Linked DNA regions of Notamacropus eugenii. The main gene of each other region encodes a partner of the protein of the gene in region 3 in a complex. Links are inferred from orthologs where the notes say so. Each region holds a gene or a part of one and is shown on either strand. Other genes may lie near its edges. The genes, in order: TAF12, TAF13, TAF8 and TAF4.

Evidence for each region.
Region 1: TAF8 (region 3) and TAF12 share a complex: the UniProt entries of both Homo sapiens proteins name them as parts of the TFIID basal transcription factor complex. The link is inferred for Notamacropus eugenii from reciprocal best matches to the Homo sapiens genes TAF8 and TAF12.
Region 2: TAF8 (region 3) and TAF13 share a complex: the UniProt entries of both Homo sapiens proteins name them as parts of the TFIID basal transcription factor complex. The link is inferred for Notamacropus eugenii from reciprocal best matches to the Homo sapiens genes TAF8 and TAF13.
Region 4: TAF8 (region 3) and TAF4 share a complex: the UniProt entries of both Homo sapiens proteins name them as parts of the TFIID basal transcription factor complex. The link is inferred for Notamacropus eugenii from reciprocal best matches to the Homo sapiens genes TAF8 and TAF4.

The regions. Positions count from the first base shown.
Region 1 is NC_092876.1:69,738,190-69,746,168, forward strand, and holds the start of TAF12 (transcription initiation factor TFIID subunit 12), read right to left. Parts: upstream 3,007-7,979; 5' UTR 2,974-3,006; coding exon 2,902-2,973; intron 2,236-2,901; coding exon 1,984-2,235; intron 1-1,983. UniProt on the Homo sapiens protein: The TFIID basal transcription factor complex plays a major role in the initiation of RNA polymerase II (Pol II)-dependent transcription.
Region 2 is NC_092873.1:287,197,108-287,204,611, forward strand, and holds the start of TAF13 (transcription initiation factor TFIID subunit 13), read right to left. Parts: upstream 3,024-7,504; 5' UTR 2,855-3,023; coding exon 2,828-2,854; intron 835-2,827; coding exon 756-834; intron 1-755. UniProt on the Homo sapiens protein: The TFIID basal transcription factor complex plays a major role in the initiation of RNA polymerase II (Pol II)-dependent transcription.
Region 3 is NC_092873.1:103,086,145-103,093,944, reverse strand, and holds the start of TAF8 (transcription initiation factor TFIID subunit 8), read right to left. Parts: upstream 3,012-7,800; 5' UTR 2,956-3,011; coding exon 2,911-2,955; intron 1,166-2,910; coding exon 1,009-1,165; intron 1-1,008. UniProt on the Homo sapiens protein: The TFIID basal transcription factor complex plays a major role in the initiation of RNA polymerase II (Pol II)-dependent transcription.
Region 4 is NC_092872.1:501,253,044-501,259,972, reverse strand, and holds the start of TAF4 (transcription initiation factor TFIID subunit 4), read right to left. Parts: upstream 3,029-6,929; 5' UTR 2,901-3,028; coding exon 2,597-2,900; intron 1,963-2,596; coding exon 838-1,962; intron 1-837. UniProt on the Homo sapiens protein: The TFIID basal transcription factor complex plays a major role in the initiation of RNA polymerase II (Pol II)-dependent transcription.

The DNA.
Region 1 (7,979 bases), on a different chromosome or scaffold from region 3:
GCTTTAGGTAAATACATAAACAGGTCAATTTGTGATGAGAGTTAAAGACATGGTTAATGTAAATTCTGCCCTGTAGCTGTCTGTCCAGCAATGCAAGGCTCCAAGGTAACCCCCCACCACAGGACCTTGGTTAGAAAATTCCTCCTCCCCCTAGCTCTAACAGCTTCTGAGGAGCATAGGGCTCTGGCAGGAGCACACTTGAGGAAGAACAGGTGGAAAGGACAGCAATGCCTTGCACACCTGGAGAAGCAACGTAAACCAGGAAGGTGTAAAGATTCTGAGAACTTGGGGGACTGCAGAGATGCCCGAGGACCCCAGGGCAGGCAAAGGCACCAAGGAACCATCTAAGTTCTGCTTGCTGTGCTCCACTGCCCCCATGGCCACCTCCTGGCTTTGTTGACCAGGGGGAGGTTTCCTGCTAAACCTGACCTTTTATTCTCTGCACAAAGGGCCTCTTTCTGAGCTTCACTTGGGATCAACAGCCTTACCTTTCTCCCAGTTGTGCAGGCTAGAAGCGCTGGGGGTCTGATCTTTGGTTCATCCCACTCTCTTTTCTCATATCAAATTACTAAGTTATACTGATTCTTCCTTCAAAATGTGTTTTGGATTTGTCCCTCCATTAGATGTTGCTCCCCTGACTCATGTCTCACACCTGGGCTACTAGAATAAGTTCCCCACCTCTTCAACCCACCCTTAGGGTCCCTCAAACTCCCAGTGCAGCAGAACAAAATTAAATGTAACCGGAAGCATTTAACAAAATAAGTAAAAATTCATTACGCAACAGTGGAAGGACTGCTGGATTTGGAGACAAAGAACTTCTGTTCAAATCTGACTTAGACTCTAGGACCCCAATTAACAACTCTGGGCCCCAAGTTGCTCATCAATAACACAGAGGTTAGACTACATAATGTCTGACATCCTTTTCAACTCTAAATCTACAATCCTACCTACCTCCTTAGAGGCAGCTAGGTGGCTCAGTGGATAGAGTGCTGGGCCTGGAGTCAGGAAGACCTGAGTTCAAATCCAGCCTCAGATGTTTATTTACAAGAGCAAAATCACTTAACCTCCATTTGCCTTAGTTTCCCCAACTGTAAAACATGAGTAATGACAATATCTACCTCACGGGAGAGTCGTTCAAATGAGATATTTGTAAAAATGTGCTTAGCATAGTACCTGACAGATAGTAGGTGCTGTAGAAATGCTTATTCCCATCCCTTCTTTTTCCTGGCTTATTTCACAATCCTATCTCCCACTCCCCTCCACCTTATAGCCAAGTTGGCCTATTTGTTTTCTGCACTACGCTGTGCCTTTGTATAGACTGTCTGCTGTAAGTGGAAAATTCTCCCTCCTTATGTCCAGCTCCCACTCAAAGCTCAGCTTCAGGGCCCCCTCTTTAAATCCCCCCAGCTGCTAGTGCTCTTCCCCTCTCCCAAATTATTCTGTATCTAAAGTGTGTATATGCTGTAGACTCTTTAAGTTCCTTGAGGATGAGGACTACCCTGTTTCTGCATCCCTAGTGCCTAACATATTTTCTTTTTTGTGGTCTGGATCTTTAATTTCATTTGTGCAAAAGCCTGTTGCCAGTGAGGACACTTCCTCTGCCAGTGCTGATGGGCCATTCATAGTTTTAGAGCGGTGATTTGCCCAGGGTAACAAGCTGGAGTGTCAGAGGCAGGACTTAATCCCAGTTTGTAATGACCAAGGCTATCCCTCTATCTACTACACCCTTCTGCCTCTCACCTGCCACACAGTAGGTGCTTAATTATAACAACTGAGGTCTCAGAATGGTGGCTGGGTTGAAGAAAATATAGAACTAAATTAAGAAAGCTACAGCTCAACTGACTCAAACATGCTTATCCTATTCTTTTCTAATAATTTACCCCAACGCTTGTATATATTCCCTTTATCATAGAGAAATAACACCGGCATTAGTAAACAATGAACAAAGCTCCCAGAAGCCCATGCCGAAAGGACAACTGATACCTGATTGCTTTCTGGACTAAGACGCCCCCCTGCCCCTGGGGGGCCTGGCATCTTTCCCACTGTGGTACTGTTGGCCATGGACCCCTGAGGGGGGGTGCTGGAAGGTTCCGGTTTTATGGATGAAAAGTTGGAGAGATTGATCAGGGCTGAGGGGCCAAACTGGTTCATAATCTGTCGAGCTTTGGCCTTCAGTTCATGGAGCTTGTCAAGGTCCTGTTTTTTTTTGGGATTATGGGGACCGAGGCCAATCAACTGGGGAAAGAAAACATAAAAATATATTTTAGAAGCATCAGTAACAAAGGGTGGACATTTTAAAAAACTGTGTGTTTGTTAGATTTTTTCAGAATCTGAGTTCACCTCAAATGGTCACAAATTAATACCTTTGATTATAAAAATGGAGAGAGAAACGAATGCATAGCTTTTCCCTGACATTTGGAAATCATCTCTCCTTTAACAACTCTCTGAAAGGGTCTTCAGAACAGAAAGAAGACAAACAGACCAAAAAGTCATACACAGACACTGACTGGAAAGAGTAAGATATTTCTGAGGTTTATATAAAAACAGAACATTTGGTGAAGACATAGGATCATCTGGGGAAAATATGTGTTAAATTCAAATAACCAAAAAGAAACTCCACTTATACACCATAACCACCTCTGCAGAAAGGGGCACAGCCCCAGTGATTCAGAAATTAGTAACTCATGTTAACTGACACACCACATCATGCACTGACACTCAATGCAGTTATGTCCAATAAGCACAAAGCTTAACAATTTTAAGAGTAAGTTATCTTTTGGTTCTGTTAATCGTGCCAGATCAGCCTTTTAAAAATGGCCTGAGCCTGTTAGCATGACAAGATGGTGCACACTCAAAAACTTTGGCCACAGATGCCATGGTCGCATTAATTAGCTTACTTACAGCTATCTGAGCGTCTAGATCTTTAATTACATCAGCAACTGCTGTGAGCCCGGTGAAAGGAGGAGCAGCCATTGCCTAAATCTTTCTGAAAGTAAACAACTGGCACCAGACAACTTGGGCTATCAGGTCTTAGCCAGAGAGAGGAGGCAGTGGAGGCTGCTTGTCCTCAATGAGCACCCAGAAAAACGGCCTGCCTGGCCACACGAAGCCAGTGTTATTAAGGCTTGCTGCCGGGGGTGCCCACCAGCTCCTGGAAGGGTAAATGTCTATTGTTAGGAATGAGCTCAGAGCAGATAAAACTGACAGCAGCCTACCAACAGGTGGGGATGTGCAGTCTGGCTGTACCACCACAGGGTTGGGGCTGGAATCAGTATCAGACCAATCCTTTCAGAACTTTGGCAAACTCTGAGTAGTGCATGTGTGCACATGTGTGTGTGCGTGTATACACATGTACCTCTCTGCCCTATCCCTGACCACGACTCTAATGTGTCCCTGTTTAAAAAGTGCATTCTGTTGTCTCACCTCTCAGCACTAGCTTACTAATGGAGTGCTCACAATGACTGGTTTCACACAGGCAGACTCTGCTGCTTCACTGTAGCACAGTGGTTTGTGGGGGCTTATTCCAGTGGAAAGCAAACTGGCTGGTCACACCACATTAGAAAGGCTGCAAGAAGAGGCCCTGTGATGCACACTATGTGTTGGCTGTCCAGGGACCAGTCTTGTCCAAACAAAGATTGGATAAGATGGCCTCTCAGGCTCCTTCCTACTCTGAGATTTTTTTTTTAACCATAACAACTCATGAAGACTACACACAAATGGGTAGAGAGGTTGTGATCTGTGTTGCTGAAATACATATTTTTGAGGTATTAAAGTAATGATGAAAAGTGTTCTACAAAAAGCTACAAACTGGCCAGAGAACCCATGAAGATCAGTGCAGACGTGCTCCCTTTAAACTCTGCTGATTCCATGACAAATCCTACAGGTACTTGAAAGATCCTTGTTGGAGAACATAAAGTCAGTGTCTTCTTTCTGGCTCTAGGCTCATGTTTCAAACACTTAAGATGAAACTTCTAATATGTGTGGTGGGATAAAAAATAAATAAATTGGTTACCTAGAGGTTTCTCATTAATGAACTCTCTCATGACAAGACTTGAACTGCATATAAACCATGAATGACAAGCACAGGACACAACATGAACAATCACACAGTTAACTCGAGAGTGACCTAAGGCATAATCCCAAAGAGATTTCTCCTTCACCTGTTCTCAGAACATTTTGTATTCTTGCACATTTAGCACTTTCTAAACTCTATTTACCTTATTACAATTTCACTTTTCCGACTACAAGTTAAGATCCTCGAAAGCAGGGACATATCGCAATGATCATCTTCTCTGCTCCACGGCTCTATGCCCCATACAAGGTAAGGGACACTTGCTAATTGAATGCATGTATTGGGCTTCTAGATTCTCACAGGTGTTATCTACATGTACTGCCTCTTCCAGATTATAATCCAGTCCTCATGATCATGCTCAAATGTCTACCAGGGGTAGGGAACCTGTGGCCTCGAGGCCACAGGTGGCCCTCTAGATCCTCAAGTGCAGCCCTTTGACTAAATCCAAACTTCACAGAACAAATCAAACAAAGATTTGTTCTGTGAAGTTTGGCAACATGCTCAACTATTACAAATCTTGTCAATTCTGCCTCCAAATTTACCATGCACCCATTTCCTCTCTTCCATTAGCACTAACTTTATGAAGAGACCAAATCAACAATAGAGAATCAATGAATTTCAAACTTCTTAGCTTAGTATTCAGAGATGTCCATAATGTGGCCTCTTTACATTCTTGAAGAGCTAGCCTCTAAATCCCACCTCTTCATTTCCTATTTTGTTGTCCTTTTGAAGAATGCCTGGAAACCATGAACAGTTTCGCAAGGACAAACTTGACTCCAATTTACTTGATGAAGGCTTACTCTTAAGGATATTTTACCCCCAAATTAATGTTTCTTTTTCTTCTGATGATGATGAAGATGCCTTCTGTGTTGCTGACCTTGGAGACATCCTCAAGAAACATGTGGGATGGTACAGAGCATTTCTTCGAATATATTTTTTATGCTTCAAATGTCACAATGGCAGAGCTAGAAAGATGTTTGCTACTCCAGGAGCAGGGTTTGAATGTCCTATGCTAGCAAGACTGAAATACCTCCAAAGGGCATCATCTAGGCACCTTTAAGCAAATGTCACAAATTAAGTACACTGACAACAAGGGAGAGAAAATGACTTCTGACAGTGAAGTCAAGTGAATGAAAACTACCAGAGATCACTGGACAAAGTTCATTTTGCAGACTGTTACTGCTAACTCCAAAGCTGTCTGTCATCTACTTGTTGAGTTTGGTGCCATTCAAAATAAGTAGGCTGTCTCTGATCTGGAAAAAACCAAAACACTGAATATGAATGTTGCCGGAGTCAGTTTCATGTGTGAAATGATTGCATGGATCCAGAAACCTTTGTATAAGCAGTTTCTGATGCCTGATGTATCTCTGACATTAAGGTTGTCCACCTAATACTGGTTGGTGGTGGCTTATCTGGTTCTGAAGTGGTCGAGCTTAAATATGAACAGATAACAAGTGTAATCCACCCAACACTGGTCAAATATTTTCCTTCTGAATCTAGAGTCAGACATATCTGACCAGAGATACACTATGTTGCATTCCTTTTGGACTTGGGGTTAACATCATTATCCAAAAACCAAAAACCAAACAACCTATATTAAAGGAATACAGAGGTTCTGATGAAGAAAATGATGAAAATGACCAAACCTTTATGTATCATGTGAATGATGGAGAATATCAAACGTTGAACAGCATCTCATTTGATCAGGCATGGTAAGATGTGGAAGACACTTAACCAGATGTGAAATATTACTCTTCTAGCATATGAGGACCAATAGGTTAGTGTCTGGATCAAATTGTGCAATGCTGTGCTTTACCAGAAATACATGTTGAAGCTTGTAGGTGGTTTTAAAACATGGGTGCTTGTCCTGTAGCTACTTTCCCTTTCAGTGACTTCCAGAGCCCCTCTCTACATTGTGACCTCTAAGCCAGAACTGCCATGCAGGCAACAAACCAAGGAGCAGAAGCTTTCTAAGAAGTCAAGGCCCAGGATGGGGCCACTGTCTAAGGCTTGTACAGCAGAATGGAGCATCATTCCTCAGCATCATTTGTACTTCAGCTAGTATCAACAGAGAGAAACTGTTGATAGCCATTAAATGTAAGTTTAGTTTGAATTGAGAGGATTTGGGGAGCGTATTAACTTAATTCTTAAGAGTTTTTAAATGTGTTTGAAGAGTAGCGTTGACTCAGATGCAACAATATGGAAGAGCAGGAGATGAGGTCATACTGGTTCTAGTATGACATTTGTTTTATGTGGATTTTTATTCACTGTTCAATGCTACTAAACGCTTGCCCTCAGCTGTCAAGCATTTGTAACTTGTACAATGGTAGAACAGGTCTGCACTCAAGAGTTTGTGACCTATTTTTCAAATAAAAGTATATTGAATTTTTTTAGTGGGTCTTTGTTTCAGGAAATTTGGGGCCATTAAAAAAAGCCCTGCAACTACCCAAAGTCAACCCCAAAATTCTAAGAGGCATGATGGTGTGGTGGATAGAATACTGGACCTGAAATTAAGAAAACATGGGTTTGAATCCCAGTTGAGAGACTTACTAGCTGTGTGACTTTTGGCAAGCAGACTCTGTATGCCAGTTTCCTTATCTGTAAAATGAAAAGGTTAGATTCAATGACCTCTAATGTCCCTTATAGTTCTAAAAATAATATTCTATGTATGAAAAATCATATAAAAATATTATCAGATAAGTATGTGGCCAGAAAAATAGATGGGCTGGTCACAGAGCAAAAGACACTAGACACTGATGGACAGCCTGCCTGATCCACTGGTATCCACAGAAAGCTAAGAACACCAAGCTCCTACAGACTGGGTGGAGCACTCTATGGTGAATTCATGGGAAGATTAGTGTGAATGGATTGGCAAAAATGGATGGGTTGCAATCTGCTTGATGAAGGGAATTGCTTATATTTAATAGAACCCATATTCAATATGGATATGTTATCTCCTTACTGCACTGCAAGGTCTTTAAGGCAGGAACCATGTCTTTTCTATCTTTTCATTCCCCTATAATCCCCACCCCCAAAAGAAGTACTGATAGGGCATCACATAAACGTAGGGCCCATGCCAGGGGGAGATGTGGAAGGACTACAGGGAAAGAAAGAAGATAGGAATCAGAGGATGATACATATATTTATAGCCAGGAAGGAGCCATCTAATCTAAAGGTCATTGAATCCAATCCCCAGGTTGAATTATGAAGGTTTTATAAAGGACATATGACCTGTCCAAGATCACAGATGTAGTAAGTGGCAAAGCTAGGTTTTAAGATTGGGAGCCTCAAACAAAAGTGGAAAACATAAAGGACCAGTTTCACGTGGCCCTTCAGAGAGGTCCAAAGGGAAAAAAGTCAGCATGGCAGGAAGTTGTGGGCAGCATGAGTCATGTGGTCTACAGGGAATGTGGGATCTAGCCAGAGGGATAGATGGCTTGATGCTCTCCACAAAGAGTTTTCCTGATTCCATTGTGGTTTTTGTTGCTGGGTTAACTAAAATCTGCCCTATAATGCCAAAAGGTATTAAGGACTATTAGAAAAACACAGACCAGCTGGAGTGATGGTACATGCTTGTAATCCCTTCTTCTAGGAGAGGCTGAGGCTAGTCGTTCCCTTGAGTTTGGGAATGCTGAGCTGTAGTATCTTAGTGCCAAATGGGTGCCTACATTAAGTCAGGCATTAATATAGTGAACGCTACAGAGGGTGGGGCCACCAGGCTATCTAAGGAGACTTCACTGGTCCACATCAGAAACAGAACAAATCAAACTTGCATGTAAATCAGAAGGGGAGCCAGGCTTGTGAGCGGCCACCATGCTTCCAGCCTGGGCAAGATAGGGAGATCCCATTGGGAGAGGGGTTAGGAAAAGAAGGGAAGATGAGGAGCAAACATTAATATTCTCAAGGG
Region 2 (7,504 bases), about 180 Mb from region 3:
ACAGACCCTGCTGCTGCCTGGAATTTTCCCCTTAATTCTTTCTCAGCCTGATACCTTTCCCAATGCGTGCCTTTCCTGGCTATCTTCACACAGTTATATAGGAAGCATGAAGATCAGGGTAGGGGAGAGGTATGTTCCTGATATTCAAAGCTTGAATTCTAAATGCTTTCTTACAGAAGTATTATTATCAAGGATGGGTATTACTACCAAGGGTGGTTAAGTTGGCATCACTGAGGTACATTATGGGCAAGACAATTTATGATTTTGTTGTGGGTGAATTATAAACCTTCTATAATTAAGAATACAGTTGACAGTTGCTATGGCTGAAAAAAATTAATCATCCAGTGGACAATCTGGTGATAAGATTCTCTAAACTTACCTGAACTGGTCTTTAAATAACAGGCATACAATCTATTTTCAGACCTGTACATGAAGGCTTTGTAGCTTGCTAGGACCTACCAGAGCTTACAGTCCACTGGCACAGCTTTCAAGAAGTGAGGATTGCCGTCATAAAATAATGGGTCATCACAGCAAGATATTAGTGGAGTACATTAGAAGTCAAATAGGCTTTTATAGATGGCTTGAGACCTGTAAATCACTATTTATAGCATAACTTCTAAGGAAAGATTCTTTTTGTTCCCAGCAACAAACTAGTAACTTATAAAGCACAACCCATTTTTAATTTAGAGAATGCCTATATATGTTCATCTTCAATGCATGACATCCACAATCAAAATACTAAATATAATACTTACATTCTTTAGAGAAAAGTCTTTTCCTTTTACCCTGTCCACCATCTGCTCCTCCTCCTACATCTTCAGTATCTTCCTCAAACTAGAAGAGTTTAAAGAATTGAGATAAAGAAGATTTTTTAAATGTTTAATAAAAAATTTATTTTCAAAAATGAACTAAAATTGGAAGGCATCTAATAGGTCATGGATGCAAATAACCATTTCTATATCCACACAGAAATCTCTTTACAATGTAGAACCCTAAAATCCTGAAACTAAATACAATAAGCCTTAATTTGGTGAACAAATGGTTTACCCAGCTGTTGCATGAGTGAAGGGAAGATTAGAATGTAATAGGGCTATTCATTTTCCTGTTGAATAGTTAAATGTATTTTGTAATAATGAGAAAAAAATAACATACACATAATGCTATATAAACAGCTAAAACATATGTGCTTTATATACATTAGCTAATGTGGAGAGATGAAGGATTTGGGTGACTTCATCTATCCAAGTAATTCTTGGTGTAGAGACTCCTTGTTTTACTAAAGTAGGTTAGTGACTTATCTCGTGTAACTTAATGAATAGAGAACTGGCTGGGGTACTGAGATTAGGTTAAATGACCTGCCCACAATTACAGTCAGTGTGTACAGTTTTCCCTTTTTTTCAAAAAAAATTTTTTAAATCTGTCTCTTAACTTTCAATCATTAATCTTGTTTTGTCCTCTGCAGCACAAAAAAAAGTCTTTTTTTTTCCTGAGTGCCTTTCAAATCTTTGAAAAGAGCTATCCATGTCTTTCCTTAGTTTTCCCTAAGCAAAGCACACCAAGTTTTCAAACTTTCCTTTTATGGCAGTGATGTACTGGAAAGTACAGTGGACTTCGGAGTCAGAAAACTCCCAAGTTTTCTGGCTTTGCCTTTTACTATGTGCTCTTAAGCAAGTCTTTCTGTCATCCTTAAACTAAGGGTACCAGATGATATCTAAGCTCCTTCTGTCATTTTATGCAAACCATTCCAAACCTCTCACTATTCTTATCACTTTCATCTAGATGAATTCCCATCTGTTGATGCCCCTCTTAAAATAATGTGGTTGAAACTAGGATATCCTAGGTTGAATATCTTGTCGTCTAGATGAATTCCATACAATTTTAGAGGTCGGGCAGTCCTCAGAAATCATCTAGTCCAATACTCTCATTTTGTAAAGGATGAAACTGAGACCTTGATATGCTAAATGAATGTTTCACGGCCAGAGAGGGAAACTCAAATCAGAAAAGAGTTCTCCTGATTCCCACAGGTTTACAGTCAGAAACAACATTTAGTATCATCTCCGAATAATGCATATACACAGAGGCTTTTAAGATTAAAAGGCTTTTTTTTCCCACAATGATCCTGGCAGGGAATTATCAAACAACCAACATTCATTCATTATTCTGCCTGTCACGTGCTAGGCACTGTGTTTGACGCTAGGGATGTGAAAGCAAAAATGAATAGTCTCTACCCTCAAAAAACTTAGGTCCCATGGGGGGAACAGATAACTTGTGCCTATACAAATACGTTCAAAATATAGACACAAAATACAACACACTAGCAGGGGATCCGAAAAAGCTTTAATCAGGAGGTAGCTGCTTAATTCAAGTAAATACTATAAGTAACGTCTTTCCCTTTATGTAGAGAAAGAAAGGAGTTCGTTCAAAGCCCAAAGGAGTTAAAAGAGACTCGGCCAAAATCACGCGCCCTTGGACTCCACAAATACACCGGGTCTTTTCCACGACACTGAGAACAGAAAGAGTATCGCGGCTTTCGGCGGCCTCTCCCCACGTCTGTGGGCAATGTTGTGCAGGCATCACTGACTGCTGGGGCATTTTTCTACGCCGCCCGCACAAATCCAGTTCCACAGTGAACCGAGGGAGAAGGGGTAATGTGGAAGCCGGGCACGCAGTGCAGAGAAGCGACCGCGAGCTCCCGGGGCTCCCCGGCCTTGGGCCTCAGCACGCTCCCGCCCGCACACGCTTCTAGGCCCTAGCGGCCGGGGGCCGCTGCTCGCTCCGAGCTGCGGAAAGCGGAGAGGAGGTGAGAGAGGGAGGCCTGCTCACTCACAGTAGGGTCCTCCTCCTCATCAGCCATCCCGTCCCCGGCTCCAACCGTCAGAAATTCCTCTCTTGCTCGGAGGGCGGGGGAACTCGCGAGCTTCCGCTTCCGTCCTTCCGCTTCCTCACTTCTTGCTTCCTCACCTCCACGTCAGAACCGCATCATCTGATCGAACCGCTCCTTGCTGCTCGGGAGAAGGCGCGCACACGCGGAAGTAGAAGCACGTCTCGACACGCACGCGCACGCATGCCTGGGTCTCTGATTCGTCAGAGACGAATGGGGAGGGGCTTAGGCGCGTGACCCTCAGTGATTTGAAAAAAATCTCTCAATCAGCCAGTTGTGGATTGGGGGACGGGGAGACTCGGCAGGGATGCGAATATAAAAGCTGGAGAATCCCTCCTTTCCAGTTTAGTGACAAGCAGCAGGAAATCTAGAGGCAGGGTGCCCTGAGACATCCTTGGGAGCCTTCTGTCCCTACACACAAAGTGGGAAATGACCTCCAGGGCGCCGCTGGATGGTGGAAAGATCCCGGACTTGGGTTAGAGCGGAATAACGGGGTGCCCAGGAAAGACTAGCATTTTCAGAACTATCCATCCACCTTTGGAGCCCACCTTTTACCTGGGACGCCATGAGCAGCGCCTGTTCGGGGTAGCTGACCCCTCCGATGACCCTCAGTGAGTTACGTGAAGGCCTACCCTGGTGCAGCCCGAAGAGGAGAGCAGTGTGTTCCAGCTCTCAGGAAGGTGGCTGAAGCAGACCCTGTGGAGGCCTTAGAGCTGGGTCAGACATCAGAGACGCCAAGGTCACCCGCTGCATAGCTAGTCCTCCTGACTTTTGTCTTGCGGCTGGACTTGGATGACTCTGGAAGAGAGAGTGAGGCTGACCACTTTATGCAACTCTGCCTCACTTAAATCCAGTTTACTCCTAAGTCAAGACGGCAGAAGTCATCACCGCCATGATGCCCCTGGTCCTTTTCAAAAGGGAAGGATGGACCACCTAACAATAAGGGGAATGCATACAGATAGCTATAAAACTGGCAATTGCAAATACGAGTAGTAGGAGTACCTGGAGAAATTTGAGGGGAGAGAAATCCCTTTCAGACTGGAAAGTAATGTGTGCGGGTGAGAGCTGTATTTTCTGCAGCTTGAAAAAAATAAAAAGTAAAGGCTTGTTTTGGTTTGTTTTGAGAAAGGTAATTTGGGATTGCATTTTTTTATCTGACTTGGAGAAGAATTGTAGAGAGACTTCTACATTCCCATCAAGAAAGTTCCAATATGAACTTAGAGAAGTTCTTTACCACTTTGTCCTGTAAGGCAGGCTAGGTGGTATGTAGTGCAAGACTCAGAGTGGGGAAAACCTGAATTTGAATGCTGCCTCAAATACTTAAGTTGTATGACACTGAGAAAGTCGCTTGCCTTCTCTGTTCCTCAGTTTCCTCATCTGCAAAATAGCCTCTACTTGCCAGGATTGTTGTGAGGTTAAAATGAGATCATATATGTCAAATACTTTGCAAGCCTTAATGCACTATGTAAATTCTGTTATCATTATTTCCCTGAAAGTTACAGTTTCCATTTATGCTCCTAATTTTCTGTCTTTGTGTATATTTGCACGTGTCTTTTACCTATTAGGTTGTTGTTCAGTCACTTCAGTCATGTTTGAGTCTTCATGACTTTGTGTAGAGGTCTTTTGGCAAAGATGCTGGGGTGGTTTGCCATTTCCTTCTGCAGTTCACTTTACAGATGAGGAAACTGAGGCAAACAGGGGGAAGTGACTTGCTCAGGTCACATAACTAGTAAATGTCTGAGGCCAGATTTGAACTCAGAAACATGAGTCTTCTTAACTTCAGGCCTGGCACTGTACTTCACCACCTAGCTGCCCACTTGTTATATATCCTAATTCTAGTCTTCTGATCCTTAAGATATGTGACTCTTTTTAACGTAAGAAGATGTAAAACTATTTTAACAAAAATATGTGTTTTTGTATATTCATAATATGAGAGGTAGTACAATATAGTGGAGAAAGTGGCAACCTAGGGTTCAAGATGACCTGAATTTAAATTCCCCTGACATTTACCTACTATATAACCTATCAGTGTCCCAGGCTATTTTCTAAGACTATAAACTGACGAATAGTTGCTTGTCTAAATTGAGAGAGTTTCTTCACTGTTATCTCCCTATGCTCTCAGATGAAATCATATGTCTGGGACCCCCCAAAAAGTATTTACCTATACATGTATGCATGTATATGCATATATATGCATATATGTATATATACATATATGTATCTATAACAAATGTATATGAGTTACTATTAGAAGGTAACTAATGTCTTCAGGCAAAGTAACTATCTGATCTAATTACCATTTTTACCAGAAGTGATCAAGCACTCACAATAAGAATTTGTTAAGTCTCAATCATGTGCCAGGCACTGTACTAATCACTGGGGGAATGCAAAGACCGAGGAAAAACAGCTCTGCCCCTCAAGGAACTCCCATTGTAGTGGGGAAGACAAGATGCACCTGAATAGATACATAGAGATAGCCCAGTTGAAAGGTAACCTTGAAAGTTTCTAGCAGCTGGGGAGTGAGAAGGGAGGATTGGGAAAGTTCTACTACCTAAGATGAGATTTGAGTTGGATCTTAAAGAAAGCCAGGAAAATTAAGGCATAGGTGAGGAGAGAGGACAGGCATTCTAGGAATGAAGGATGGGCAATGCAGAGATGTGCAGTGAGGAGCTGGAACGTGATATGAGGATATGAGAAAAATAGCAAGTGTGGGTCCACATAGCCAGATTTTAGAGGATGTGAAGAGGAGTGAGGTGTAAGAAGATGAATGATAGGAAGGGGCCAGGTTATGAAGATCTTTAAAAGTCAAAGAAATGACCTTATTATTTGATCCTGGAGCTTAAAGGGATCCACTGGAGTAGGTGGGGGTAATGATCAGACCTCCTTTGAGGAAAATCACTTTGTTAGCTATGTGCAGGGTGGACTGGAATAAGGAGAGCCTTGAGACAGGGACAGTAACTAGAAGGCTTTTGCAGTAGTCTTGGTGAAGGTGAGGAAGGTCTAAACTATGGTGGTAGCTGTGTGAATAGAGACAGAAGACCTATGGGATAACTTTCTCATGACCTGCTCCATCTCATCTGAGTAAAGAGATGGTCATATCCTTGATCTGACCATTACCTACAAGTGTATTGCTTTCATGTTCATGAACTCTGAGATACTATTATCTGATCATAATCTATTGTAATTCTACCTCTCCATCCCTGTTGCCTCTTTCCAGCTGAGCCATCTCCACTAATCCTGATGAATATCTGGTTACTGGACCCAGATGGCTCAGGAGGAGAAAGTGAGGTTAGTGGCCTTGCACCACCCTCCCTTACTCAAAACAAAGTCAAGTGCAAGTCATGTCTTCATTTCTCTGATGTCATGGTGTTCAGCAAAAACAAAGGATGAACACAACCTGTGAGTAGACTGAGCTACCTGAGTGGGGACCCAGCTCACACTCTCCCTTCTGTCTCCCTTTCCCCTTCCTTTGAGGTTTACTGGCTAGATGTCCTTTCTTCCTTCCTTCCTTTCTTTTCTTCCTTCATAGAACCTTAAATCCAGTGCATTCTGAAGCCTCTACTTCATGACCAGCTTAGACTGATTATCAATAGTAACAGTTTCTGTTCCCTCCCAGGTTGATTTAGTTATTTTTTCTTTGTTCATTAAAAGGGCCATTCCCTGACTACTTCTTAAAGAAGCCTGTTCACTCAATGGACATTACTTCCCTATGAGTACCTGAAAAGGTCAGCCGAAGAAGGCCAAGGTCTCCCATTGTGTCCTAGACCATCTCCAATCATCCTGATGAATATCTGGTCACTTGACCTAGATTGGCTCAGGAGGAGAAAGTGAGGTTGGTGACCTTGCACAGCCCTCCCTCAATCAAAACAAAGTCAAGTGCAAGTCATATCATCATTTCTCTGGTGTCATGGTCTTCTTCCAAAACAGAGGACAAACACAAGCCTCTTTCCAACCTCCAATCCCTCAACCCCTCAATTTCCTAAGATATAACCTCTGCAATAACTACCATCCCTTCCCCATCCTGACCCTTTGGTGAATCAGTTCAACTCTACACTGTGCACTACTCGAGTCCTCTGCCCCCTTATAATTTTGCCCTGCAGAGCCTGGGCACCTAGGTGGCAAAGTGGATAGAATACCAGACCTGAAGTCAGGAAGACACTTACTAGCTGTGTGACCCTGGGCAAGTCACTTAACCCCATCTGCCTCAGTTCCTCGTTTGTAAAATGAGCTAGAGGAGGAAGTGGAGAACTACTCCAGTATTTTTGCCAAGAAAACCTCAAATGGGGTCATGAAGACTTGCATACAACTGAAACGATTGAACAATAATAACAGAAGAGCCTTAGCTTTGGATTATTCCCATCATCCACTGTCATTACTCCTATATACATGCTACTACTAAATGAAGCTAGAAAAAAAATCATGAAACTGCACTGACGGGATCCATTACATATGTGTAACTGGGCTTTTACTGTGGCAAGACAATCCATGTACACCTTGCTAATTAATTCACTCTCCCACTTACCACAGTGGCTTTTCCAAACCTTTTTACCCTTCCTCAAACTTCCCATGGCACTTCTTTCCCTCACTCTTTCAACTGAGAACTTTGCCTTATACTTCACTGAA
Region 3 (7,800 bases):
TTTGTCTATACATGTCTATATGTTGTCTCCTCCATTAGAGTATAAGCTCCTCAAGGGCAGGGACTATCTTTTGCCTCTTTTGTATATGCAGCACTTAGCACTGCACCTGGTGTTTAGAAGATGCTTAATAAATGCTTTCTTACTGATCAGTCCTGTCACCTCATTTCTCCCTACCAAAAGCAGCAACCTCTGCACTCTAGAATCCATGACCCCAATTCTTGCGGAAATTACTCCGCTTTGGAATTTCTATTCACAGGCTGAAATGTCTTGAGTGAATATAAATTTGCCTTCCCTACGATATTTGCACAGCCCCAGAAAAGCCCAAATTAGGCTATGCTTTGTATTCCATCCAGCCGTCCACAAAGGCCACCTTGCCAACTACTCTGCCAATGCACAAATACCCTCCCCATTCCTCTTTTTCCACTTCTTGATCTGGGAAAAGTAATCAATAATACCAAAGCTTTTGGAAAGGGCATATTAATTGACTGCCCTACGGATCAACTCAGCATTCTAGTAACTCCCTGGACCAAAACTCCTTTAACTGCCCACTCTCCTCTTTAAATACAGAATGAACCCACTTATCTCACTTATTACAGAATGTAAGTTCTTGAGGGCAAGAACTGCCTTACTTTTCTGTATTTGTATCCCTGGTGCTTAACAGAGTGTTTAACATATATAGCAAATGTTTAAAAAAGTGTATTTGTTCATTCATTCACTAAGTCTTAGCTGCTTCATAAGCTTCTGTGTTAGAGAAAAATAAATTATCTGTTGACCAAACTTTTGCTGAGTATATCCAAATTTAATAAGTACATTCTTGGACCAAAGTTCATTGCTTAGCTCATATCTGAAAACTCTGAGAACTGCAAAAGTTTATAATCCATCAGCAAAACCATTGAGAATTCAAGGCAACCTCCACCACAAGGAAGTTTCATGGAGGTAGGTATTTAACTTTCAAAAAAATTTAATGGACTGACTTTGCAAAAAGCAGCTAGTATCCTCCATACTCACAGCTTTGTAACATCTCAGTTAATGTTTCCACCGATGCTTTCTCAGCACTTTCAAACCCAGCCTCTGTCAGCAAGGAGCTCACAACTACCTGCAAGGTCCGCCTGCGTGCCAGGTAGTAGTTGTCTGCAGGGGTGGTGGCCTGCTTGCTTCCTGATCTCTATATGAATCAACAAAAGAGAGCATGGTTTTAGTTTACATATTAAAGGTGAAATCACATACTCTAAGAATATAAAACTGACCACCCATGACAGATGGGAAATGAATGATAAATGCCTACCAACACCTCCCTTTTAAAATGCAGCAACTCTGCCATTCTGACTTGTGCTTCTGGCTAACTAGCTTAATCACTGAGTGTTCAAGAAGTGCTGAACCCTGGAAGCTAATGATTCCTTCCCTCAATGTATACCCCAGAATAAGGGCCTCCAGGTCTTCATAAAATTTTTTCTTTCCAGGGATGTACACACTGATAATGAGGTTGATGCATGAATTGTCAGACCTAGCTCAGTGTTTGGGAGGATCCGAAGAAATCTATGGGAGAGAAGAGGTATTAGACTGACTACCAAACTGAAGGTCTACAGAGCCGTTATGCTGACCTCATTGTGGAATTCCTGTGAAACCTGGACAGTATACCAGCACCATGCCAGGAAACTGAATCGCTTCCATTTGAACTGTCTTAGGAAGATCCTGAAGATCACTTGGCAAGATAAGGTACCAGACACTGAGGTTCTTACTCAAACTAAACTGCCAAGCATTCATATTCTGCTTCAGACAGTGCAACTCTGATGGACTGGCCACGTTGTTCAAATGCAAAACATATGCTTGCCAAAAAGACTTTTATGGAGAACTCACACAGGGCAAGCATTCATACGGTGGTCAGAAGAAGCGATACAAGGACACCCTCAAGGTGGGAGACACACGAGGAGATACTGACACTGGAACACTCAGCATGGCATTCCCACATCAGAGAAGGTGCTGTGCTCTATGAGCAAAGCAGAATTAAAAGCGCTCGAAGGAAACTCAGGATGCACAAATTCAGACTATCCACCCCAAATGTTCACATGGACTATTTGTGTCTGATCTGCGGTAGAGCATTCCGAGCTTGTACTGGTCTGGTCAGCCATAGTCGGACACATCTAAGCTTGACTCTAGCACAGTGATGTCACTTTGGTCCTCTCTGAGAACAAAGGACAACAACCAGCCCCAGAACGACTCCTCTCCTTCAGTCTCAGAGCTCCTCATTTCACATACGATGAGAAACACTTTGTAAAAGGATTTCATTGCCTCTATGTTCCCTCCAAGCACTAGAAGTCTCTGATGTTATGAAAAGAGGTTCAAATCATGACTCAGACTTTTAGCTGTGTGACCCTGGGCAAGTCACTTCACCCTGTTTGCCTCAGTTTCCTCATCTGTAAAATGAGCTGGAAAAGAAAATGGCAAACCACTCCAGTATCTAATGGGGTCACGGAAGAGCTTAACTGAATAGCAAAAACAGGAATTATTCTTCTCAGCTGTCACAGGGCCAAGTGGTTTAACTCGCACCGTTGCAAACAGATTTTTATAACAAGAAGGACGCTGAAATGTTCTTTTAAATCCCCCACCAGCTGGTTTTTCGATTGGCAAAAAATCGGGCCAATAAGAGAGAAGGCAGGGCAGCTTGAGCCAATTAGACGCTTTCTCCGGAATCCCCGCCTCCTACTGGGAACTAGCCAATTGAGGACTCGAGCGGCCAAGAGCTAGAAGAGGTGGGGGGAGGGGTACACTGGAAGGGGAGGCCTTTGCCTCGGCCAGAGTGGCTCGGTGTGGGAACTGACTCCAGAGACCCCCCAATCTTCGCGCTGCTCCGTTTTGCTGAGGCCAGGGACTAAGTCCTCATGCCCCTGACCCACGCCCTCTGATTCTTACCGCTCCTGAGCTACCGGCTCCGGCAGTTGCAGCTGTGTCAGCCATCTTGAATACCTGAGAATGTGCATGTGCGCAGGGCAGCCTGGGAACTGTAGTCCTAGGGGGAAGCGGGGGCGGTGCAGGGATAGGAGGGAGGAGGGAGAGGGGTCGGGCTCACAGCTCCAGTTTCCAAAGATGGGCGTTGTGGTGGGTGTGACCAGAGTCCGTGACTTCACGTGGCCTTACACGAGAGGATAGAGTGCACGCTGGCTTGTTAGACCACTAGGAGCCTAAAGCCTGGGAAATGCGCCCTCAGGTGACAGCAGGAAAAGGGAGCTTAGATGTGTTTCGTTCACCATTGAAACCCCAGCAGCTTCATAGCCTCCTGGAGCAGAGACACCTCAGTGTCCCAGGATCACAGGCTTTGGACTTGGGGCACGGAATTCTTAATCCTTCTTGTGTATCTCGGACCCTTTAGGCACATCTAAGGACCCCTTCTCAGAATCATGTTTTTCAGTGCGTAAGAATACAAAGGATTCCAATTAAGTTAAATACAGATAATCATGTTAAAAACAAACCACCAAGTTCATGAACCCCAGGTTTAAAACATCTCTGCTAAATTAAAAAATTCTGAGATGCTACCTCACACCTATTGGATTGGGTAACAGGACAGAGGGGGAGGGGGAGAAACGTTGGAGGGGACGTGGGAAAACTGAGACTTTGGTGCACTGTTGGGGTTGCGAACTGATAAAATCATTCTGTAGAGCAATCTGGAACTGTCTAGGGAGCTATGAAACCAGGCATGCCCTTTGACCTAGCAATACCACTACTAGGTCTGTATACCAAAAGAGATTTTAAAAAGGAAAAGGACCTATGTGCACAAATATTTATAAATAAATATATTTATATATTATAAATGTAAATAAAATATTTGTAGCAACTCTTTTCTGATGGCAGGGACCTGGAAATTGATGGGATGGCTGAACAAGTTGTGTTATGTGATTGTGATAGAATACTATTATGCTATAAGAAATGATGAGCAGGATGCACTCAGAAACCTGGAAGGACTTACATGAACCGATGCAGAGTTAAATGAGTAGAACCAGGGGAATAGTGTACTCAGTAATGTTGAGGTTTAGGGGTGCTCCCACAGAAATAGCAGGGTCTTGCCCAAATGAATTTGACTCAAGCCTTCTTTCAGCCAAAGAAAAACAAAGTTGCTTTGTTTTTTTTTAAGATTGGCCATATTGAACAGACTCTTAAGGAATCTGAGCATTTGTGACTCTTGTATTGACAATTGGGCCAGATACAATGTGAGCTAGATTGAATCTGAACGCCTTCATGGAAGCAAGATGAATCTTATATACAGAAAGATTGTGTGAGAGATCTAGAGTTGGCCAAGAACTCCAGAGTAACTAGAGATGTAACCAGTAACTACAGATGGGGTTTAAGGAGGGTCCTAGCCAATGGAGGGCTAGGCTAGGTTAAGCATAACAAATTTGGGCATGAAAAGCCAAATCAAGTGGGAAGATTCAAAGAGCGTTCAAGCAGGTTCCTAGAGCCTGTACCCCATCAGTAACAGAAATACTGTAAGATGATTAGCTGTGAATGATTTAGCTATTCTCAGTAACACAATGATCCAAGACAACTCTGAAGAACTTAGGATGTAAAATGCTATCCATCCCCAGAGAAAGAACTGATGGTCTCAGAATACAGAGACTTTTTTTACTTTATTTTTCTTGAAGGGTTTTTTTTGGGGTCTATATTTTCTTTTACAATATGACTAGTATGGAAATTGTTTTGCATGCCTACACATGGATAACCTATATCAAATTGCTTGCCTTCTCAATGAGCAGGATGAGGAGGAAGGGAGAGAATTTGAAACTCGAAATTTTTAAAATGAATGTTAAAAGTTGTTTTCACGTGTAATTGAGGGAAAATAAAATACCAAATATATATATATATTTTTAAATACCTCTGCTTTAGTGGGATCTTTGACATAATTTAGTTCAGCCCTTCCTCTCCCCCCCCCTTTTTACAGAATTGGAAATCGAGATCTGGAAGAAGTGAAATGCACAAAGTGCAGGGATCCAGATTTCCAAGGCTTTTTCCACTTCATTGTTAGGAAACCACACCCTTCGCCAGCAGTCAAGAGACAAGAATTTTTGGATCCCAAACCTTTTGCCCTGAGTCCTAGAGGTTACTAAAGCTTCAGTGACTAACAAGAGCTCCACCCCTTCACAACGAAGTCTACAGCAATTCTAGGGTTTAGAGATCAATCCCTTTCTCCACAGAACCGCAGAATATTCCTACTAGAAGGGACTTTATTATTAGGACCATAATATTCAGAGCAGGAAGGGGCTTTTGAGGTGATTTCGTCCAACCTTTTTATTTGACAGGAGAAACTTGCAATTCAGGGCGGCATCGAAGTGATCAAAATGATATGCAACTAAGTAGCAAAGCCAGAACACTCCAATCACCTTTGGGGCAGGACAGCGCAGCGCCCACGTACAGAGTACTCCTCTGGGTAGAGGAGGGTGCTCTCCTCACCCTGGGTGACAACACTACCACCTTCACGCCCACACCTGTGCTAGAGCGGCCCTGAGGGCAGCAAGGCCCCTTCCCCCCTACACCCACCCCTCCCCTTGGCTCTGAGAAGCAGGAGCCAGGGGGCGGGGTCCCCTCGGGTCCGTGCGCACCCCGGAGTTCGGATCCGGGGCAGCCCCTAGACCGCGGGGTTAGCAGGCTCTGGAGAGGGGGCCACGGGGGAGAAGGGAGGGGGGCGCGATACCTCTCTACAGCAGGAACCCACAGCCCCTCCGTCTCCCCCCCCCGCCCCCTCCTCCCCACTTCCTGCCCAACTTCAAACGTCGAATCCCTAGCGCAGCACCGAAATTGTAAACACTCCGCTCGAGCGCGGAGGAGGGGTCGAGATGGAAGCGGTCAGGGGCAGGTAGGGAGTGATCTCTTCCTCGGCTCCCCACGTCCAGCCCGGTGTCAGTGGCGGGCCTACCCCAAGGACACAGTTCTGGAGCTGGAAGGTCCATGCCGGGAGGAACAGGGTGCGAAGAGGCGACTCCAGGACTCACCTGTTAGGTAGGCATCGGAGCTGTGGATGGAGCAGGTCTGGGGGAGGTGGGGCTCGAAACGAGTTCGTGCAGGTCGGGCCAGCGCCCATCCCTCGGGAGCACCTGGGGCTGGGGGGTTGGAGAGTCCCGAGGGAAAAGGCGTCTAGGAGGTAAAAAGAAAATCCCGATTTAAGGGGAGTGGGGAGGGCTCCGAAGCGTGGGGCTGGGGAATCTCAGGAGGGACTAAAGGAGCTCCCGAGGGCCGAGGGCTTGGAAGGGAAGCTCCGGTCCCCCAAACACCGGTTGACCTCGATCATTTCCTTATCATTTATAAGAGGGTATTATTGATCTCAAACGTCCCGTGGAACTCTGAATCCTGTTGTTTTTCTGTCCTGCGCAAAGGGTTCCCATTCACCCTCTCCCAGACAAAAGGTCGGAGTGCCTGAACTAGGTTCTGGGACCCCAAGCTATGTATGCCAATTCAGATATATGAGTTTATTTGGATATGTGTGAATATATATGCATGTGTATGTCTATATGTATTTATACACATATTTAGGACCTACTCCGTGCAAGGCTTTGTGTCAGAGACACTAGGAATACACAGATGAGTAGTAAACAAACCCTGCCTACTAGGGTTTGTTTACACTTTAAAAAGAGAGTACTTTTACCCTTTAGCTCATTTCAGTAACCTGATGTCATCCCCAGATTTCTAGAGCTTGCATTATTCAAAAAATGCTTATGTATCAAGGAAACCTAATAACAAATTTAGTCAAAGAGTCACTCGGGTGGGTTCTGGTCCCAGTTCTGCCCTATCCAGTGCCCGGATGTAGACTCCCCATGCCTGACCGGTTGTCACCTCCTGCATTGATGACTCGAATCCCTCCCTCCTCAGATTTCTTAAAACACTTTATGGGGAACCTTCCTTTGCAGTTATCATAGTTTCTCTTGTATCAGAGCTAGTTGGGCATGTCTTTCCCCGCTGTTACATTTTAAGTCCTTCATGAGCAGGTCCTGTGTTTTATCTATTTTTGTATCATCTCATAGTAGTTAACAGTAGTGCTTTGCATATGGTAACTTAATAAATATCTGAGTTGAATTAAATTGATCAGTCCTTGGCATTTACTTAATGGGCAAGTGATGTTCCCTATTTCTTTTCACCTCACAAAGTGTTTGAGGATTTCAGTGAAAGACAAGAACTGCAGAAAAAAAAGTAATGTGTACTTATTTTAGAAAGGGACAAAGAAAAACAGAGGAGGGAGGGATTATCTCTCAGCTCTTGGGCAAGGGGCTGTTAGAGATCTCCAGTCACTCATCCTGGTAACTACCTCTCTTCCAGGAACCAAACCTAGACTTTTATTGATATTCAGGACTCTGGGGAGACAGATCATACAGTAGTCCTACCCCTAGGGGATCAGCTTCTTTTCTCTGGGGTTCCAGGATTCCCTCAAATCTTGGCCCAAGAGCCACCCAGCTAGTTACTCTTAAAGAGCCTGCTCTGGGCAAGAGAAATAGATGTCGTACCTCTCTAGCCACATAGCCTGCTGTAGTGGATAGAATATTGGATTTGCAGCCTTAGCACCTGTGTTTGAATCTGCATTTGCTACCAGCTCCGTGACCTCTGATATTCACTTTGCCTTTGTGGACCTTAGTTTCTTCATGTGTAAGGTCTTCCAGCTCTAAATCCCATGATTCTATATTTTCTTTTCTGGGTTAACCTATTAAAACCTAGTGTCCGTGGAGATGCTTGTCTTTTTTGTTTGGAACATGCTGGAATCTGAGATAATCAAGCAACTCAGATGTAAAATTCAGGGCTCCGTGCCCTTAACCTACTGAAAATTCT
Region 4 (6,929 bases), on a different chromosome or scaffold from region 3:
AAATACTTAAAGTACAATTTAGGATTAGAATGTTAACCCTGAATGATGTGATCCTTGTAGACTCATTTTTATGAGTCAGTTTAGACTCAGTTCACTTAAAAACTGTAATATCATTCTGATATCTAAATACTTTTTTAAAGTATACCCTGAAAAGAGTAAAAGCTTTCAAAGACTTAATCAAGCAGCCCTAAAAACAGGGAGTGTAGTGTGTCATTCTATCTTTCTGTCACCTTTGGAAACCAGGTCCACATACTCCCCTATCTGAGGAACTCCTCTAACAATTGATGACAAACACAAAAATTATATGTGGTGAGGTAAAGACTCATCATACCTGACTGCAGAAACTACTAATGGGCAAGGCTACATCTAGAACTCTAATTTTTTAAAAAAAATTGAAATCCAAGATTGTTTTAATGTACATTCGCATAGCGAAGTAATTTTTCTCCTGTGACATACCTGCTGCTGTAGAGCAAGTAGCCTGCTTCCTCTGGCAGCAGGGGCGTACAGGGGCAGAGGTTAAGCAAAAGTCAAAGATGCAATGAAGAAGATTAAATAGGAATATGCATCAGCAGAACACCATGATGTTATGGGTGGGAAGATCTGAACACAGACTTAAAATGCAAATACAAAGATTTAAGCAGTACAAAAGTCTGTAAAGCAGGTCTACTTAGCATGTCCCAGTCACAAGAACCAGCATAACACACTTCTCATAAAACTGGCAAAAAAGGTAAATGGCCTTACCATTTTAAATGAGAACAAGAACTTCCTATGACTTATAACTAAAGTATCTGGATCATTTGCCTTTCACCACAATAAATACTTCAATGCTTTTCTTACCTGGGGGTAGCTGAAAATTTTGAATATTTGTAGGATTCTGAGGTGGCTGAGGCAGACGGGGTGCTAAAACTGTAGGAGTCAATGTTGCTCGGATACCACCTGTAGTAGCTGTTGGAGTCCTTGGCAGACTTTGTGCCACTGTGTTGGCAGTGCCTTTAGCCATCCCTGTAGGGGTCCCAGGAGCTGGAGGAGGAGGTGGTATCCCACTAGGATTGGGGATGCCACCTTGCATAGTTTGCCCAATGATCATGTTACCCCCTGCGGTGGACTGGCCACTGGTTGTCAACGTTTGCTGCTGAGGCACTGCCTGCACTATAGTTTTAGGGGACTCTGATTTGATGACCTGTGTGGTGGCTGTGGCTGGCATGTTGGAGCCAGGTTGGCTGTTCACAAGGGATGCCTGAAGGGAAACTCCAGAACCCACAGTAGCTACAGAAGCAGCAGCAGTAGCAGGCAAACTCCCCACACTGATAGTTGAATTGATCACAGTATTGCTCCCATTCTGGGTGGCTGCAGCCACAGAAGCCGCAGCAGGTCCTGCTGTGTGAATTGGTGGCCTCACTAGTGCCACGGTAGGTCCCGCACTTCCAATGCTGGAGGAGGAGATAACGGTGGGTGAGGAAGAGGAGGACACAGCAGTGCTGAGGAAAGAAGAAGTCTGGATGACAGTGTTAGAAGAAGCTGAAGGCAAAACAGCATTGACAGCATTTCCCTTCCCCAGCGGCAACACCACAGATCCTGGTCCGTTGTTGACGAGGGTGACAGCAGGTGCAGCAGCAGCAGCAGCAGTCGGAGTCCCAGCAAAGGCAACAGCACTTCCTGAATGGTGAGAGTTCATCACGACGTTACTCCCATTCAAAGTTTGCACCGTGGCGGTGGTACCGATCTTGCCGTTTCTGGAGGACAAGGCGGTTGCCATGGTGCTGCTGATGACCACCGATTTGCCCTGACTGATGGCAGCAGCCCCTGGAGCAGCAGCAGCAGCTTCGGAGCCTGCTGTGGAGCTGCTGGTGCTGGTGCTGCTGCTGCTGGTGGAGGTGGACGAGGAGGTTCCATCCAGCAGAGCTGAACCCTGGGACCGGGTCGTGTTGTGATTAATAACACCCCCTTGCACTCCTCCGGCCCCTGCAACAACAACAACAACAAGGAGAGAATAAAATAAAAAAGAGAGAGCGGGGGAGGGGGAGGAGGTCTGGGGGGCATTACTTCAGCCAAGACGTGCTAAGATATTAACGGGAGACACAAATTGGCGAGTGAGAAAAATCGAGGGAGCAAAACATCAGTTCTGGAGGGGTCCCCCTTCGGAACTGAGCGCTCTCCCTGTCCCCCAGTTACTGATACCCCCCACACCTGAGGTGTCAGAACCTTGTGCTCGGGATGTCAGCTCCTCCAGACCCCATCCCCGTCCGCCCCCTGGGATGGCTGGACCACCCTGGGGAAGGGGGGTCCCCTCTCCCTTCCCTCTACCCCACCAGGGTCCCCTCGCTGTAGCCAGGGAGGGGTCTTGGACCCCCCATCCCTTGCCCCTCTGCCTCCTTATCCCCCATGCACCCGCCCACGGAGGGTCCGGGGCTCCCCCGGGCCCGGGTAGCCCCTTCACGCCGGGTGCCCCCGGGAGGGTGTCAGGCCCCCCTCTGGGGAGGGGGGTCGGCAGGGCTGAGGGGGATCGGCCCTGGCTCCCCTCTCTCGCTCCCTCTCGGCTCCCTCTCCCCCGGCCCGGACCCGCCGCCCCCGCCGCCCCCCGCCGCCGCCGCTCTACCTGCTTTTGTGATCTCCTGGGCCAGTCCCATTTTGCTGCTCTCCGTCTGGACATTAGCACCGGCGGCGGCGGCGGCGGCGGCTCCTACTACTCCGGCTCCTCCAGGGCTGCCGCTCACAACATGGTTCCCCAGCCCCCCGGCGCCTCCGGCCCGGATCTCGGGCGTCCTGTGAGGGTGATGGTGGTGATGGGCCGTGCTGGCCGCCAGCTGGGACTCCAGAGAGCCCACCATGTCGCTCACCACTTTCTCGTCCACCTCGCTGTTGAAGAAAACCTCATCCAGCAGATCCGAACCCGCCGCCATCTTTTTTTACTCCGCCGCTTTGGCTAATAGCGACTGGGTGAGGAGGAGGGCTGTGTGGGGAAGGGAGGGGGGAGGGGGAGGGGAGCCGGGGACGGGGAGGGGAGGAGGGCCGCCAGGGAGGAGGGAGGCGGGGAGGTTCCTCCGCGCCCGCCGCGCAAGCGCGCCACGGCGGCGCGTCACCGCGGCCCCGGGATTCCAGCCCGTCCTGATTGGCTGCCCGGCGCGCTTAAAAGCGACGGCAAATGGCTGCGAGCGTTATTGAAGAGTGGAGAGGGGAAGCAGTCGGGAGACCGAAGGGCGGGGGGAGGGGAAAGAGTGTGGAGGGTGGGTGGGGAGGGAGGCGGCGACGACCTCGGCTATGGTGGTGGCTGGGGGGAGGGGCGGATGCGGAGCCTTTGCCGCTGGCGGCGGCGGCGGTAGCTCGATGCCCGGGGAGCGGTGAAGGCGGCCCCGGGGCTTGGCTGCGGAGGGGTTGGAGCGGAGCGCCGCAGCCGGACCGGGCGGGGGAGGAAGACGAGATGGGGCGGGGTGGAGGAGTTGGTGTGGGGCGGCGGCGGCGACAGGCGGTGGTTCACTCTTTGTCTTTGCTTGCTCCAAAATGGCTGCGGGTTGAGTGTGGCTGGAGCGAGCGAGGGGTGAAGGGCGCCACCGCCCCGCACCTGTGCCGTCGCCGCCGCTTGCCAGCTGCGTGTAACTGAGACACCCCCGCCCAGCCCGAGCTCAAGGAGGAGGGAGGGAAGGAAGGCGGGGGAGCGGGGACGGGGATGGGGGGGATGGGGGACGAGGAGAACGGCGGTTGAGGCCGCACACCCCGAAGCCAACCGCCATTTCACCCCGCGCGCTCGGCGCAGCTTCCCTCGCCTCTTGTCGCCGCCACCCCCGGAGCCCCTGCTCGGGTCGCCGTCGGACGCCCTCCTGAATAAACAGGGCTGCGCTGTGGGAAGAAGCGTCTGGGGGAGGAGAGAAGAAAGTGGGGCGGGGGAGGCTGTGGGCTGCGCCTCGGCCTCGTCACTCGAGTCGGAAAAGGAGGCAGTTGTTGGGTTGTTTTGGGGGGGACGCCGCCGCCTGCTCGGGACCTCGGGGCTGCTGGCGTGGAGGCAAGAAGGGGGTGTCTCTCACTCTCTCCCTTCCACTCACGGGTGTCCTCGCCCCCCTCGGCGCTGCCGACAACTCCCCACCCCCTTCTCGTCACTGACCCCCACGGAGTCTGCAAACCACCCCCCCACCCCGCTCCTCCTCGCCCGCCCCCCAAACACACACACCCCTTTCCCTTCCTCGGAAGGGGAAACACCCTCAAGAGGTGGAGAGATTTGGGGGGAGGCGGGGGGAGTCCTTTTCGGAAGAGTCATCCCGGCTGCACCGCCTCCCGGCTTGTTTGTGTGGGGCTCCCCCGCGCCGGGCTGAGGAGGAGCCTAAGCCTGGAGCAGGTTGAAGGAAGGAGGGAGAGATGGGGGGGGGGGGCACCGAGGCATCGCAGCAGAGCCTGGGCGGCCCTGGGAGGCTTGGCTGCGTCGGGGAGAAGACTAGACTTGGCACAGGCGACAATGCCTTTCCTCCCGCGTTCCAGAGGAAGTGGGGTGGGGGTGAGGGGAGATGTTCCCGGCCAGCCGGGGGTCCCACAGTGGCGCATCCTCGGGGCGGGAAGGATGCGGAAAGAGGCTCTGAGAAGGCAGCGAAGGGAAATGAATGTACCTGACGGGGGAGCAGGCCAAACTTGAACTGTCTTCGGGTTAACTTGATCGGAAGTGACATCTGAAAGGATCATAAAGCCTGACTCCCCGATCCCCAGGGGGTTACTGTAGGTTGGTTTTCAGTCCTTTTTTACTTATCTCGGCACGCAGGAAAACTGTAAACACAGGTTTACGAGCGTCGTCCCGCATGTGTGCCTCCTGCGCATCCTCATGCGGAAGGGATAATTCAGGGTGATTTCCTCACTTTAAAAACGCAGGTAATTACTGAGTAGAGTAAGGAGCCTGCCACCTAGATTATGTCACTTATTTACATACCGCCTCACCCTCCTGTGTATTAATGGAGACCCATGATGGAGAAAGAAAACCTTTTTAACCTTGGCCTGTCATCTCCCTCCACCACAGACCTGTGAACAAGCTGCTTAATAGAATGAGTTGTACTTTATTCCCTTACCTCTTGGTGGAGATGCGACTAGCAACCGGAAATGCAGGGGAGAAACGAGGTGGAAAAGTCATCTCTAAGTGAATAATATAACCTTAAATAATCACCTTGATTACTCCTCTAAAAAAAAGTCGGAATCCTGACGAACTCCAAAAGCATGAGATCTTCCATCTTAGGATGACAAAGTAGCGTAGAAGGAAACAATGGTGATTACATGGTAACCTCTAGTTTCATTAAACTACAATGGGAGGAATGTGTCCTGCTTCTGGGGCTAAAGAGGGGCTGTGGGCAGGCAAGCTGTGTGGGTGGTAGTTTCTTTTTGTCTAAATATGGAAGGTCAAATAGTGGCTACACTCTTCCTGTGGAGGAACCTTAGTTTTTAAATGAATGGTGGTAGCTCTAAAGAGTTAGCTGTGCATTTGCTGTTCCTTGCTCAGTGTTACTGTAATAGAGTTTCTTAGAACTAGAATTATAAGTGTTTTAGTGCTTTGTTGGGGGTGGAGAAAAGTTGGTAAAAATGTTATTTCCTTTGTTTAAAATGTGGTAATCCCCCCCCCAAAAAAAAACCAAACACAAATACTTTATATTCTAGAGTGAGTGGTTTCATTGCTTGAGCTGTTGTGTGGAATTAGTAACTGTTTGGGTCTTACATTGATTGCTACCCTGAATGCGGACACTTGAAGTATCAGACATCTCTATCCAAGGGTTCATAGAGATTCTAGATAAATTCCCTACCCTCTTATCGTTGTTCTTGATTTATTTTGTCTCATCTACCAAGTATGTATTTATGCATGCATTTCCAAAGTAAAATGGGTTTCTCTAAAATTTATGAAGACTTGTGCTAGTCTTCCTGCCTTTCCTTATTTATGCCTGGGGAAAGTCTGGGAGGCCCTGCTTTTATTGGAATTACTTGTCTATCCTTTAAATTCCAACTAAAATATCAACACCTCCATGGAGGATTGTAGCAACCCTTGTAAACTACATGACTTTTTACTTTGCATTTCATTAATGCACTTGTGTAATATGGTGTATTATGGAGATTTTTGTTTGGTTCTTGCACTTCTACAGAACTACAGGCTCCATTGAGGCATACATTTCCTACTTAAATTTTATCTCTTCCAGTGCCTTACTGGTGCACAGCACTGTGTTTAAATAAATACAGGTAAATTAAATTGAAAGGTTATTGGTGGGAATTGGAAATGGGTTTTAGAAGGACCTATATGGTCAAGGAGAGTCACTAACCCAAAGGTTTTGGAGGATTTTTGAAAGGATTTCTCCTGAGCCCTGGAGTGCTAAATTTAAAATATCTTTAAGTGCTTTAACCTTTCAATACCAGGAATGCTCAGTACTATGATCATGCCAAGATACAGCCCTGATATGCATACTAATTATATCTAATAGTTTTCTTCTACCTGACAAAACGCAACTTGAGTAAATCTTTGCCCTTTCCCTTATTTTTCAGTTAATAAAATTGATCCAATGAACCTTTATATAGCACTTCGTCCTAATGGTGTTGTTGTCAAGCTTTCTTTGCCAGGTTCCAAATGTGGCATCATCAACTATGATATTATACATTTGAATATGTTATCAGGCAAAAAACAAAATCATTCACATACAAGGAAAAGAACATTGGACTCATAAGTTTGCACTAAAAGCAAATTATCTAAATCAACTTCAATATATTTTAAGCACCTCCCTGCTAGGTAGGCCCCATAAGAGGTGCTCTTGGGGAGGGTGGAAGGTGGGAAAGTTGTTTCTTTGTATTTACAATAATCAAGGATGTGGAATTATTGTAAAATGAACTTGTTAATGGGACTTGGTACTTTCTTTTTTCAAGAAACACTAGTAGACCAAGTTCCTATGGCTTGGAAATTGCCTCAGTCTACTTTTCTTTGGCAA